Linked DNA regions of Nothobranchius furzeri. The protein of the gene in region 2 interacts with the protein of the main gene of each other region in a pairwise test. Links are inferred from orthologs where the notes say so. Each region holds a gene or a part of one and is shown on either strand. Other genes may lie near its edges.

What was found.
Region 1: the proteins of nme7 (region 2) and zbtb48 interact in binary tests that used the Homo sapiens proteins (3 or more experiments, as listed by UniProt). The two-hybrid records come from large-scale screens. The link is inferred for Nothobranchius furzeri from reciprocal best matches to the Homo sapiens genes NME7 and ZBTB48.
Region 3: the proteins of nme7 (region 2) and shtn1 interact in binary tests that used the Homo sapiens proteins (3 or more experiments, as listed by UniProt). The two-hybrid records come from large-scale screens. The link is inferred for Nothobranchius furzeri from reciprocal best matches to the Homo sapiens genes NME7 and SHTN1.

What each region holds. Positions count from the first base shown.
Region 1 is NC_091755.1:39,583,362-39,586,878, reverse strand, and holds part of zbtb48 (telomere zinc finger-associated protein), read left to right. Parts: intron 1-794; coding exon 795-931; intron 932-1,010; coding exon 1,011-1,175; intron 1,176-1,267; coding exon 1,268-1,356; intron 1,357-3,324; coding exon 3,325-3,517. UniProt on the Homo sapiens protein: Plays a critical role in transcriptional regulation and chromatin remodeling. Acts as a regulator of telomere length. Directly binds the telomeric double-stranded 5'-TTAGGG-3' repeat.
Region 2 is NC_091756.1:61,694,148-61,698,122, reverse strand, and holds the start of nme7 (nucleoside diphosphate kinase homolog 7), read left to right. Parts: upstream 1-1,174; 5' UTR 1,175-1,302; coding exon 1,303-1,305; intron 1,306-1,968; coding exon 1,969-2,070; intron 2,071-2,652; coding exon 2,653-2,819; intron 2,820-3,689; coding exon 3,690-3,800; intron 3,801-3,975. Other genes in the region: uncharacterized protein zgc:172121, read right to left, coding at 611-715. UniProt on the Homo sapiens protein: Possesses an intrinsic kinase activity. Displays 3'-5' exonuclease activity with a preference for single-stranded DNA. Does not seem to have nucleoside diphosphate kinase activity.
Region 3 is NC_091752.1:9,266,133-9,269,649, reverse strand, and holds part of shtn1 (shootin-1), read left to right. Parts: intron 1-1,064; coding exon 1,065-1,179; intron 1,180-1,887; coding exon 1,888-1,970; intron 1,971-3,517. UniProt on the Homo sapiens protein: Involved in the generation of internal asymmetric signals required for neuronal polarization and neurite outgrowth.

The sequences.
Region 1 (3,517 bases), on a different chromosome or scaffold from region 2:
AGGGTGAGAAGCTCGGTCATCCGGGAGGGGCTCGGAGTAGACCGGCGGTACGTGGCTCACAAAGAAAGACCCTATTGAGTGCCGCTGGTTTAAGGTCTCAAATGTGTAAAATTGAATTTTATATTTCCCTATTTTTTAGTTGGGATGGACAATTCCATCGGTATCGGCCGATGTTAGTCATTTTTTAACATATCGGTATCGGTTCGATAAATAAAACCGGGCCGATGTTAACAATTGATATTTTTTCCATCTCGTCTCCGTTTGTTTGCCTGTTTCAGAGGGGGGTGGGGGTGGGGTGTCATTGATTAGTCGTGTGAACAGTGAATGAAATCATCTCAGAACCGTAAATGCGTGTGTGTGTACATAACGTAAATTCAGCTTTAATAATTTTCATTCTATACAAAATCTGCTGATTTTAGAAGCATTAATGTCAGTAGATCGATACCGGCAAATATCGGTTATCGGCCATAACAGTGATCTTAATATCGGTATCGGCCAAAAATTTTCATATCGGTGCATCACTACTTTTTAGTCATCTTGCCAGAACTCGTTTGATTGTCAGACCCTGAATGTTGAATTAATGAGAAACAAACTCTGGTGGCTTTGATCAGAATTAACAGATTAATTTGATTTATTATTGTGATCACATCATCAAGGCTAATTTTAGCTGTTTTCTGTCTAAATCTGTAAAAAAACAAAAGGTGATTTAATCTGTGAGAACAAAACTAATCAACAGTTTGCTCCGGTCACCGTCTGAATCCTGCTTTGACCCGCGTTCTTGTTCTGCTCCACAGGAACGAGCGGCCTTTCGTTTGTACCACATGTGGCCACGCCTTCTCCCAGAAAAACAACCTGAACTTGCACCTGCGTGTGCACAGCGGCGAGAGGCCGTATCAGTGTCACCTCTGTGGGAAAACCTTCAGGACACAAGGTACAGAGTCAGACGAGGAAGTGGTGGGTTGGTTGAGCTGTGTCATTTTACTGTTGACCCTGTTGTTTGTGTCCTCCAGGCAGTCTGGATAAACACCAGCGGACGCACACCGGGGAGCGCCCCTACGGCTGTGACGTCTGTGAGCAGCGCTTCACGGAGAAAGGAGCCCTCCTTCGCCACAAGGCCAGCAGGCACGAGGAGGGCCGACCCCACAGCTGTTATGTCTGTACCAAAACTTTCAAAGGTGCCAAACAGCGTCCCGAGCACCAGCTGCAGCAGGAGTGTTACAGAGATGATAACAACTTTTGATCTTTTCTTCTTTGAACCCTTCTCCAGCCAAGGAGCAGCTACGAGTCCACCTGCGGCGCCACAAAGGCATGAGGAAGTTTGAGTGTGGGGACTGTGGCTACATGTTTACCCGACAGGTTGTTCTCCTGAAGTCCCTCTTGTAGTGTCACCCTAAAGACCTCGTGTGACCTCCAAGATGGTGCATAACAAACTAGACAAGACTAGGGAAAGCTGAATGATTCCCATCCATCCATCCATTTTCTGAACCTGCTAGTCCACGTAGGGTCGCGGGGGCTGGTGCCTATCTCCAGCGGTCAATGGGCAATCAGGCGGGGTAGACCCTGGAAAGAGTCAGTCCATCGCAGGGCAACACAGAGACACACAGGACAAACAATCACGCACACACACACTCACCTAAGGACAATTTAGACAGACCAACCTAACAGTCATGTTTTTTGGACCGTGGGAGGAAGCCGGAGTACCCGGAGAGAACCCACGCATGCACAGGGAGAACATGCAAACTCCATGCAGAAAGATCCCAGGCCGGGAAGCGAACCCAGGACCCTCTCGCTGCAAGGCGACAGCTCTAACCACTGCACCACTGTGCAGCCCTGAATGATTCCCACTGGTAGAAAGCACACTCTCAGGGCCATTACACCCCCAACCCTCCCTCTCTGCTCAGGGCCGTTCGGCCCCCACCCCTCCCTCTCTGCTCAGGGCTGTTACGCCCCCAAACCTCCCTCTCTGCTCAGGGCCGTTACACCCCCACCCCTCCCTCTCTGCTCAGGGCCGTTACGCCCCCAAACCTCCCTCTCTGCTCAGGGCCGTTACGCCCCCACCCCTCCCTCTCTGCTCAGGGCCATTACGCCCCGGCCCCTCCCTCTCTGCTCAGGGCCGTTACGCCCCGACCCCTCCCTCTCTGCTCAAGGCCGTTACGCCCCCACCCCTCCCTCTCTGCTCAGGGCCGTTACGCCCCCACCCCTCCCTCTCTGCTCAGGGCCGTTACGCCCCCAAACCTCCCTCTCTGCTCAGGGCCGTTACGCCCCCACCCCTCCCTCTCTGCTCAGGGCCGTTACGCCCCCACCCCTCCCTCTCTGCTCAGGGCCGTTACGCCCCCAACCCTCCCTCTCTGCTCAGGGCCGTTACGCCCCCACCCCTCCCTCTCTGCTCAGGGCCGTTACGCCCCCACCCCTCCCTCTCTGCTCAGGGCCGTTACGCCCCCAAACCTCCCTCTCTGCTCAGGGCCGTTACGCCCCCACCCCTCCCTCTCTGCTCAGGGCCGTTACGCCCCCACCCCTCCCTCTCTGCTCAGGGCCGTTACGCCCCGGCCCCTCCCTCTCTGCTCAGGGCCGTTACACCCCCAAACCTCCCTCTCTGCTCAGGGCCGTTACGCCCCCAACCCTCCCTCTCTGCTCAGGGCCGTTACACCCCCAAACCTCCCTCTCTGCTCAGGGCCGTTACGCCCCGGCCCCTCCCTCTCTGCTCAGGGCCGTTACGCCCCCAACCCTCCCTCTCTGCTCAGGGCCGTTACGCCCCCAACCCTCCCTCTCTGCTCAGGGCCGTTACACCCCCAAACCTCCCTCTCTGCTCAGGGCCGTTACACCCCCAACCCTCCCTCTCTGCTCAGGGCCGTTACACCCCCAAACCTCCCTCTCTGCTCAGGGCCGTTACGTCCCCACCCCTCCCTCTCTGCTCAGGGCCGTTACGTCCCCACCCCTCCCTCTCTGCTCAGGGCCGTTACGCCCCCACCCCTCCCTCTCTGTTATCTGAAGGGTCAGAAATGGTATGCACCACCTTAGATGTTCTTCCTGCGACTCTTCAGAACCTTCCTGTGGTTGGATCTTTAGAACATACTCCTGGCTTTGATGCATGTTTCCAGCTTAATGTTTGTTTACATCCTGTTTTCCCATCATCGCTTCCTGTGTTAACTTGTGATGCAACTTTTTACACAATTTCAGCAAGTTTTACCACTTTTCCTTAAAAGACTGATCAGAAGGAGAAATAATGGGGTCTCCCTCCCTTCTCAAACAACTGGGCGTTAACTTTTGTTGAAGCTTACAGGTCTATAGCCAGCCCGCTAACGTCTCCTCCTCCACCTCCTCCAGGCACACCTGCGACGGCACTGCCTCATCCACAAGCGCACCGAGAACTACAAACCACAGCAGAGGAAGCTGAGGAGCATCGTCGTACAGAATGTCGACGACAGCCCGGACGAGAGCCAAGTCACTAAATCTGTGGACGCTCAGAAGGTTGGCGATGACTCCCCAGAGTCGCCTGTCGTCCCAGGGTCATCAGACC
Region 2 (3,975 bases):
TTTTTACTGCAATTTTTTAGCTTTTTTCACTTTTTGAGCATTTGTTATGATGCGTAACCATGGCAACAAGCCGGTTTACAGTCGGGAGCAGCTGATTGACATTGGAAAGGCTGAAATAATACCTCAACTGAAGCCACAAATGCCAAATGAGCTAAAACGCAAGAAGCGTGGGTGCAAAGCGGGAGCAAAACGGAGACAGAGAAAGAGGAAATTCAAACCATCTCTTCCATCGATCATAATGGGCGATGTGAGATCACTGGCCAACCAGATGGAGGAACTCCAAGCCCTTTCAAGGACTCAGCCAGAGTTTCAGAACCGCTGGAGGAGATGATGCAAAGAAGGATTCTCCAGAGAATCAAGAAAATGATGGACAACCCTGAGCATTCTCTTCACAAGACTGTCCGACAACGGAAGAGTGTCTTCAGTCAGAGGCTTCTTCAGTTTGGCTGCAACACTGACCGCTACTGGAGATCCTTCCTGCCAACATCCATTGTAATATACAACAACTCTTTGATGACTTGATTATTATTATTATTCTGAGCTACTACAGCAATCAGTTTCCCTCTGGGATTAATAAAGTATTTCTGAATTGAATTGAATTTATTTTCACCTGAAGTTTGGCTCCTTGTGCTTCCAGTTCAGTAGCTAGTCCTCCATCCAGGATCACCGGCCTGTTATCGTGTATGAACTGTCTAAGACGAGCAGCAGAACCCATTAATTAGCAAAACAATTGTTCAAGTCGAGAGAGTAGAAAGTACCCAAACGAGGTACTGTGTTGTTTTTCCGGGTAATCTAAAGGTCAACTGTTGCGTTTGGGTACCGTCAGAATACTTGATAACTAAACGCTTCATTGATTTTACAAGTCACCGCAAGATGGCGCGTTTGACAACGAAATACAGCGGAGACAGGCCATGTGTACATTTGTATTGCATTTTAATTCTTGTAACATCTTAAATATCTTAAATGTTTTCATAAAAATACACGATACACTTTCAAGCCACATTTTTCACTGTAATGCAATGTGAGTCAGCAAATATTGTGTATGTCTGTAAGTACATGGTGTAATATTTTAACCTTTTTACTCTCATTAAACGTTTGAGACTACTATAACCTTAAGTACGTGACGTGATTAGATAAATAAACGTAAAACTGAAATTTACTACCGCTCAAGTTTGCGTGAACGTAACACCATTTTCGGTACAGTTGCTATAGAAACAACTTATAGTTAGCAACGGCTAACCTGTGGACATATTTGTTCGTAACGGTGCTTATAGAGTTTGCTGGTCTTGTGAAATCGTACATATGGTAAGTTAAAAGTCCCCGCTTTCATAAAAGATACATAAATACTCATGATAGTCTAGATTTCACGTTTGAGTGTGAACACATCTAACGAGAAGTGGTTAGCTTTAGCTTAGCAGCGACTGTTTACATAGTTTCAGATTTTCATGACTCTGGGGTGAACTTATGGGTTAGGGCTTGTATTTATGTCAAGTTTTTATTGACGAGGTTAAAAGCGACTTCAGACAGTTAACTGCTGTTATGGGTTTGTAAACCTGGTTCAGTGTAATTTTATTTATCCGTTTCAGTTCAACTGTAATGAGTTCAGAGCTGTTTCTCGCTAACATAGGATCCTGCGACCACCAGGGGTGATTGCGGTGGGTGTCTCCTGTAATGATCTGTGTTGCAGTGGACGTAAAGAGCCCTCTGACTGAAGACAGTGTTGTTGAATTATTGTCCAGTGAAAACGATTCTCAGAGTTGTCCATCTCATTTTTCATTTCATAGAAAATTCACCTTTGTACCGTATCACCTCTTGAGGCTCCAGATCAGAGTTTCAGTCTGTCAGTTTTGGTTGTTCATGTATCAGTGACTAGTGGGTTAGGGAACCACTATAATGTCTTCATATCAATTTAAATGCTTGTCAAGCTTTTTAAAAATATGTTTATCTTACTCATTTTATTTTTTTTAGGAAGATCGATATGCTTTCCTTGCCGAATGGTTTGATCAGCATGCATCTCTCCTGCGACGCTTCCTTCTGTTCTTCTACATTACAGATGGCTCCGTGGAAATGGTTTGCTTTTGCTGCAGCAGTTATGACATAAGACTTTACTGTTTGTCAGTATATTCTAGGTGCAACTTAAAGAGCAAGTCACCCCCAAATCACTTTTTTTTTTTTTGCTGATAAACTATATAAAGGAGTGTCTAATCATGCTGCAGACACATGTAGTCAATAATTTGGCAGTTCAGTGCATCTTGGTTAAAATTCAAATATTCTGCCTAAAACTGTCAGTGTTGTGCCATCATCACGGAAAGATTCTGCACTGTATTTGAATCTAAATCTGCCACCGCTATTGGCTAAGAGGTATGCTATGATGTCATCTGGTATATCATGATGTCGTAATGCCATTGTGAGCCTGTGTGTGTGTGTGTGTGTGTGTGTGTGTATTTGTTAGCGGCTCCGCCCTCTCGGTCTGCCAAGCAACAGCATTTGTTGCATTTTTCAAACATGAAGTGGGAGTGAAGTAAGTTTGTTGTAGGGGGTGACTTGCTCTTTAACGATGACACAAACAGCACTGGAACAGATTACAAACACATTTACTTTTTAAACTCTTTGTTTTGTTATGAATAATTCCTTTGTTTGTTTAATTTGTAGTATGATTTGAAGAATCGAAAGAAATATTTGAAGAGGACCAAATGTGACAGCGTCAATCAGGAAGATTTATTCGTGGGGAATCGACTCAATATCTTCTCTCGGCAGCTACATTTAGTAGATTATGGAGATCAGTTCACGGCAAACAAACTTGGCAGCGAAAAGGAAAGGTATGATTAGTTGGGCCGAGCAGTAAGTCTTTGTTATCCCGTCTAATTTCTGCACATACTGTACCTCGTAGACGTGAGCTGCGTCATATTCAGTCAGAAAGTAGAACTCAGAGACACCATGCACTCATTTATTGTCGTCGTATTTTTCTGTAATTTATAATGTAAAGATACAACTTTTGCTTGTTTAAGTTATTTGATTTACTTTTTAAGCTGATTATAACTTTTGAGTCAGACTTAAAAAAACTTAATATTTTTTTATTTAGAAGATCAAATTTGTTTTTAGAAAGTGCAACAGCTAATCCTTGAGATAACACATGTCACATGTGAGTAAGTCTGTAGCAGACTGAATGAACTTGAAGTGTTTGGGGTGCGCATGCATGTGAAGGTCACACAGATCACTTTGCTTGTCTGCAGGTCCAAGAAACTAGAATTTTACCAGCAAAAGTGCTGAGGCATGAAAGGTTTAAAACCTATTAATATGCTTCATGTGTTTCTGGAATGATGGAGGTTTAAAATCAACCAGCTTTTTCCTGGAGTTGCCTATTTAAAAAGAGCAGCAGTAGAAGGCACCTTGAAGGAAGGAGGCTAATAAAACAGGACATTTTCTGAACAAGTGTCAATAAGACTAAAGGCTTTTGTGAAAAGAATAAAGATTTAATTCCTGTTATTCAAAACTCCAAATTCAAAGGTTAATAAAAGCTACTCGTCACCTGCTTACCAACCAACAGATGGGACTCGGGAGAGCAGTTTGGATTGGAAGCAGAGACTGATGGTTGTTTCAGAACCACAGCCTACGTGGAACAAACCTGGAAACAGTGTGTGCTGAAGATGCCCGTGATGTTTTATAACCATTTTGCATCTTTTTTCCAGGACTCTTGCTTTGATAAAACCAGATATGGTCAGTAAGATCGGAGACATCCTGGAGTTGATAAATGCCTCCAAGCTAATGGTGACCAAAGCAAAAATGACCAAGCTCACATGGTAAGGTTGCCGTATGCTTAGTGTCTGTCTAATGAAGATTTGCATTTATTAGTTTTATTAAATGCTTGATCATAATGTCATCAAATGGAAACAGTTTACCCGCCACTTTTCATCATCTGAATGTTTTATACTAAGATTAACTGATGAACTGTTTTGGTTTAATCCTCGTTTTAGT
Region 3 (3,517 bases), on a different chromosome or scaffold from region 2:
ATTATTCATTCACCCACTCATCCATCCATCCCTCATTCATCCATCCACCTTCCACCCACCCACCCATCCATCCATTCATTCACCCACTCATCCATTCATCCATCCCCATTCATCCATCATCCATCCACCTATCCACTCATCCATCCATCCATCCATCCATCCATCCTTCCACCCATCCATTCATCCATCCACCTACCCACTCATCCATCCATCCATCCTTCCACCCATCCATTCATCCATCCACGATCCATTCACCCACTCATCCATCTTCCACCCACCCATCCATCCATCCATTCACCCACTCATCCATTCATTCATCCATCCATTCCTCATTCATCCATCCATCATCCACCCACCCATCCATCCATCCCTCATTCATCCATCCACCCACTCCTCCCACTCATCCATTATTCATTCACCCACTCATCCATCCATCCCTCATTCATCCATCCACCTTCCACCCACCCATCCATCCATTCATTCACCCACTCATCCATTCATCCATCCCCATTCATCCATCATCCATCCACCTACCCACTCATCCATCCATCCATCCTTCCACCCATCCATTCATCCATCCACCATCCATTCACCCACTCATCCATCTTCCACCCACCCATCCATTCATCCATCCATCATCTCCAGGTTTGGTGGTTCCTGGACTGGACCCCAGACTCCAGCAGCTTCTGCTTCCTTGGACTTAGGATGACATTCCTTTGTCCAAACGAGCTGGAATCTCTTCACTCGGGACACGGAGAGAAGGAGACAACAGACATTTTAAATTGAGTGATTCTGAATGGGTCACTTGTTCAAGTTGTGCTATGATGACAGTTAAACTGATGTTTGGTTTTTACGTAATCAGTGATGAAAACATGACTGAGTCAAAGCTAACATGATAACCTGAATCAGTCGTTGAATTATTCAGATGTCTAATGATTAAATCTGTAAACACGAGATAACCTGATGAGATAATCTGCTAGCATGCTGAGCTAATCTCTAAAACGTTTTTCCATCCCTGCGGTTTGCTGCTGGTTTGTTCTAAAGCTCCATGTTTATCTGGACAGTGGAAGAACTCCAGAAGAAGCTGCAGACTGTTGCTAACCCACCTCCTGCTCCTGCACCTCCGCCACCACCTCCACCTCCCCCACCTCCTCCACCTTCATCCTCCAACCCTCTCAGGTCTGAACTTTCTCCCGTAGCTTATGAGGCTCTTGGTGGCGTTGAAGCATCATTCAAACCCAGATGGTGTGGTCTTTAGGCTGGTTCTGTTCTCATCCTTCAGCTCATGTTCCTTCTTTTAGTGAACAAACCCAAACCGGAAGTGACCTTCTGGTTCTACGTTCTCCTGAGAAATATCTAATAAACTCTCCTTCTTCACAGGAAACAGTTCATCTTAGACCTGCTGGTGGTTTTAGAGTCCAGATGGACTTGAACCGTCTAACTAGCTGGTTAGTGGCTGGTTAACCAGCAGATGAACTACTTGGTTTAGTTTCTTTGTTTAAATGGCTCATAAAAACTAAGCAGTTTATTTATAATTAATGTCTGAATGAAAGTTAAACATTATTATTAGTTTTCCTGGTTTGGAGGATAGAGGTTAAGGATCTAAGATGATAAATTAGTTTGATTCTGAAAACTTTAAAACGGCAGCTGCAGGATTAGTTTCGTGACTTTTATTAAACCTGAGAAAATATCTGACTCTGAATTCAGAGGAAACATATATATAAAAATATATTTTATATCAGGTTCATTTCTGATCACCGTCTCATCGCTCATGATGTGTCGTCATTTCTTTGGATCTGAAAGAAAAAGCTTTGCTGAAATTAACATTATAAAAAAATAAAATGACCAGAACAGGAAGTCCAGATGTTGTTCTGTCTCCTGCTGCAGCGCGCTGCTGTCGCTCATCAGGAAGAAAAAGGACGTCAGCGACGACGTCCAGCTGCTGGAAACGGACTCGACCAAACCTCCAGGTGAACGTCTTACTCACTCGCACACGCCCTAACAACCCTGCACACACACACACACACACACACACACACACACACACACACACACACACACACACACAAACGTGCACACAACTACACACACACCTACACACACACACACACTCACTCACTCACTCACACACACACTCAACAAACGTGCACACACACACACACACACACACACACACACACACACAAACGTGTACACAGACACACACACTCACAAACATGCACACACCTACACACATGCACACACACACACACACACACACACACACACACACACACACACACACAAACGTTTTTTACAGTTTTACCATAAATAAAAAAAACTTCATAAACTACAAACAAGATAAATAAAATTAAATGTTCCCGTTTCTTTGAGCCACAAACAACTTATTAAAATCACAGAAATTAATAATAATTAACCAGAAAAGTACGAACAGGAACTGAATCGTCCCTTTATTTTTGACTCAAACTTTTATTTTAATGTTTTTATTTGTCGGTAATAACTGAATTAATTCCATCAAAGCTTTCATTCATGCTAATTATTCACCCATTTTCTTTGATTAGTTTAAATTCTGGTCTCCTTTTAATCTCTTTCACGTACGATAAATGCTTTATGAGACCATCGTTCTCAGAAATCTGCATCTTTGGCCTTTCAGACCCAGATGTTAAATTCTCTAATTTGTGCCGGCAGATTCCAGCCTTGACCCGTGGGAGCGGTTTGATGTCCGTGCTGACTGAACAGGTTCTGATGTTAAACAGTTATTGAATAAGCGAGTCCTGAATTGGGCACCAGGCTCACAGCGTTAGTTGAAATTCCATCCAGGGATGAATGGTACCACCCAAGGATCTTCTACTCTGACACCTGAATAATAGATTCTTTTTAAGCACTAAAGGGAAATATTTTGCTATTACTTCTGAACAAAACGTTTTTTTAAAGACATTTCTATGACAAAGCGTTCTGTTGTATGTGTCATTGAATGTTCTATGTGAGGAAATTAAATATTCGCGTTGCTTTGTGAATGGGCAGCATTATTGCAGAATTACATGTTTTGTTCTCCTCACTTTGAACCTCTCCTTGGAAAACTTTTGTATGACAAACAGCCGAACGGTCGGAGCCTTTACACACACAGAAAACCTTGCAGCCTTAGTAACTCTTATGAAACCATGACAATAATCTGGATTATATCCATTGTGCACGGACTGCTTTTAGACCGTGCTTTGACTGAGGTCTGCTTTAGTCCAACAAGTTGCTCATCAAATGAAGCAAATTAAACATCACTTTTAACATCTTAACAGTTATTAATAATAAAATCCTTTTGTCACATTCTGCTTTACAAACTTGTTTTTTCTGTTTGATCAGTGTGCCTCTTTGTCTGAGGCGAATTCCTGTTTGGCCCTCCAGGCTCCCGTAGCAGCTGTTCCCTGTTTATATAGCAGTGCTGATTTATTTATTTAAAGGTCAACTTCACTGAAAACCCCTGTTTCAATTATTATTTCTGATTCTAACAGGTCACTCTGAG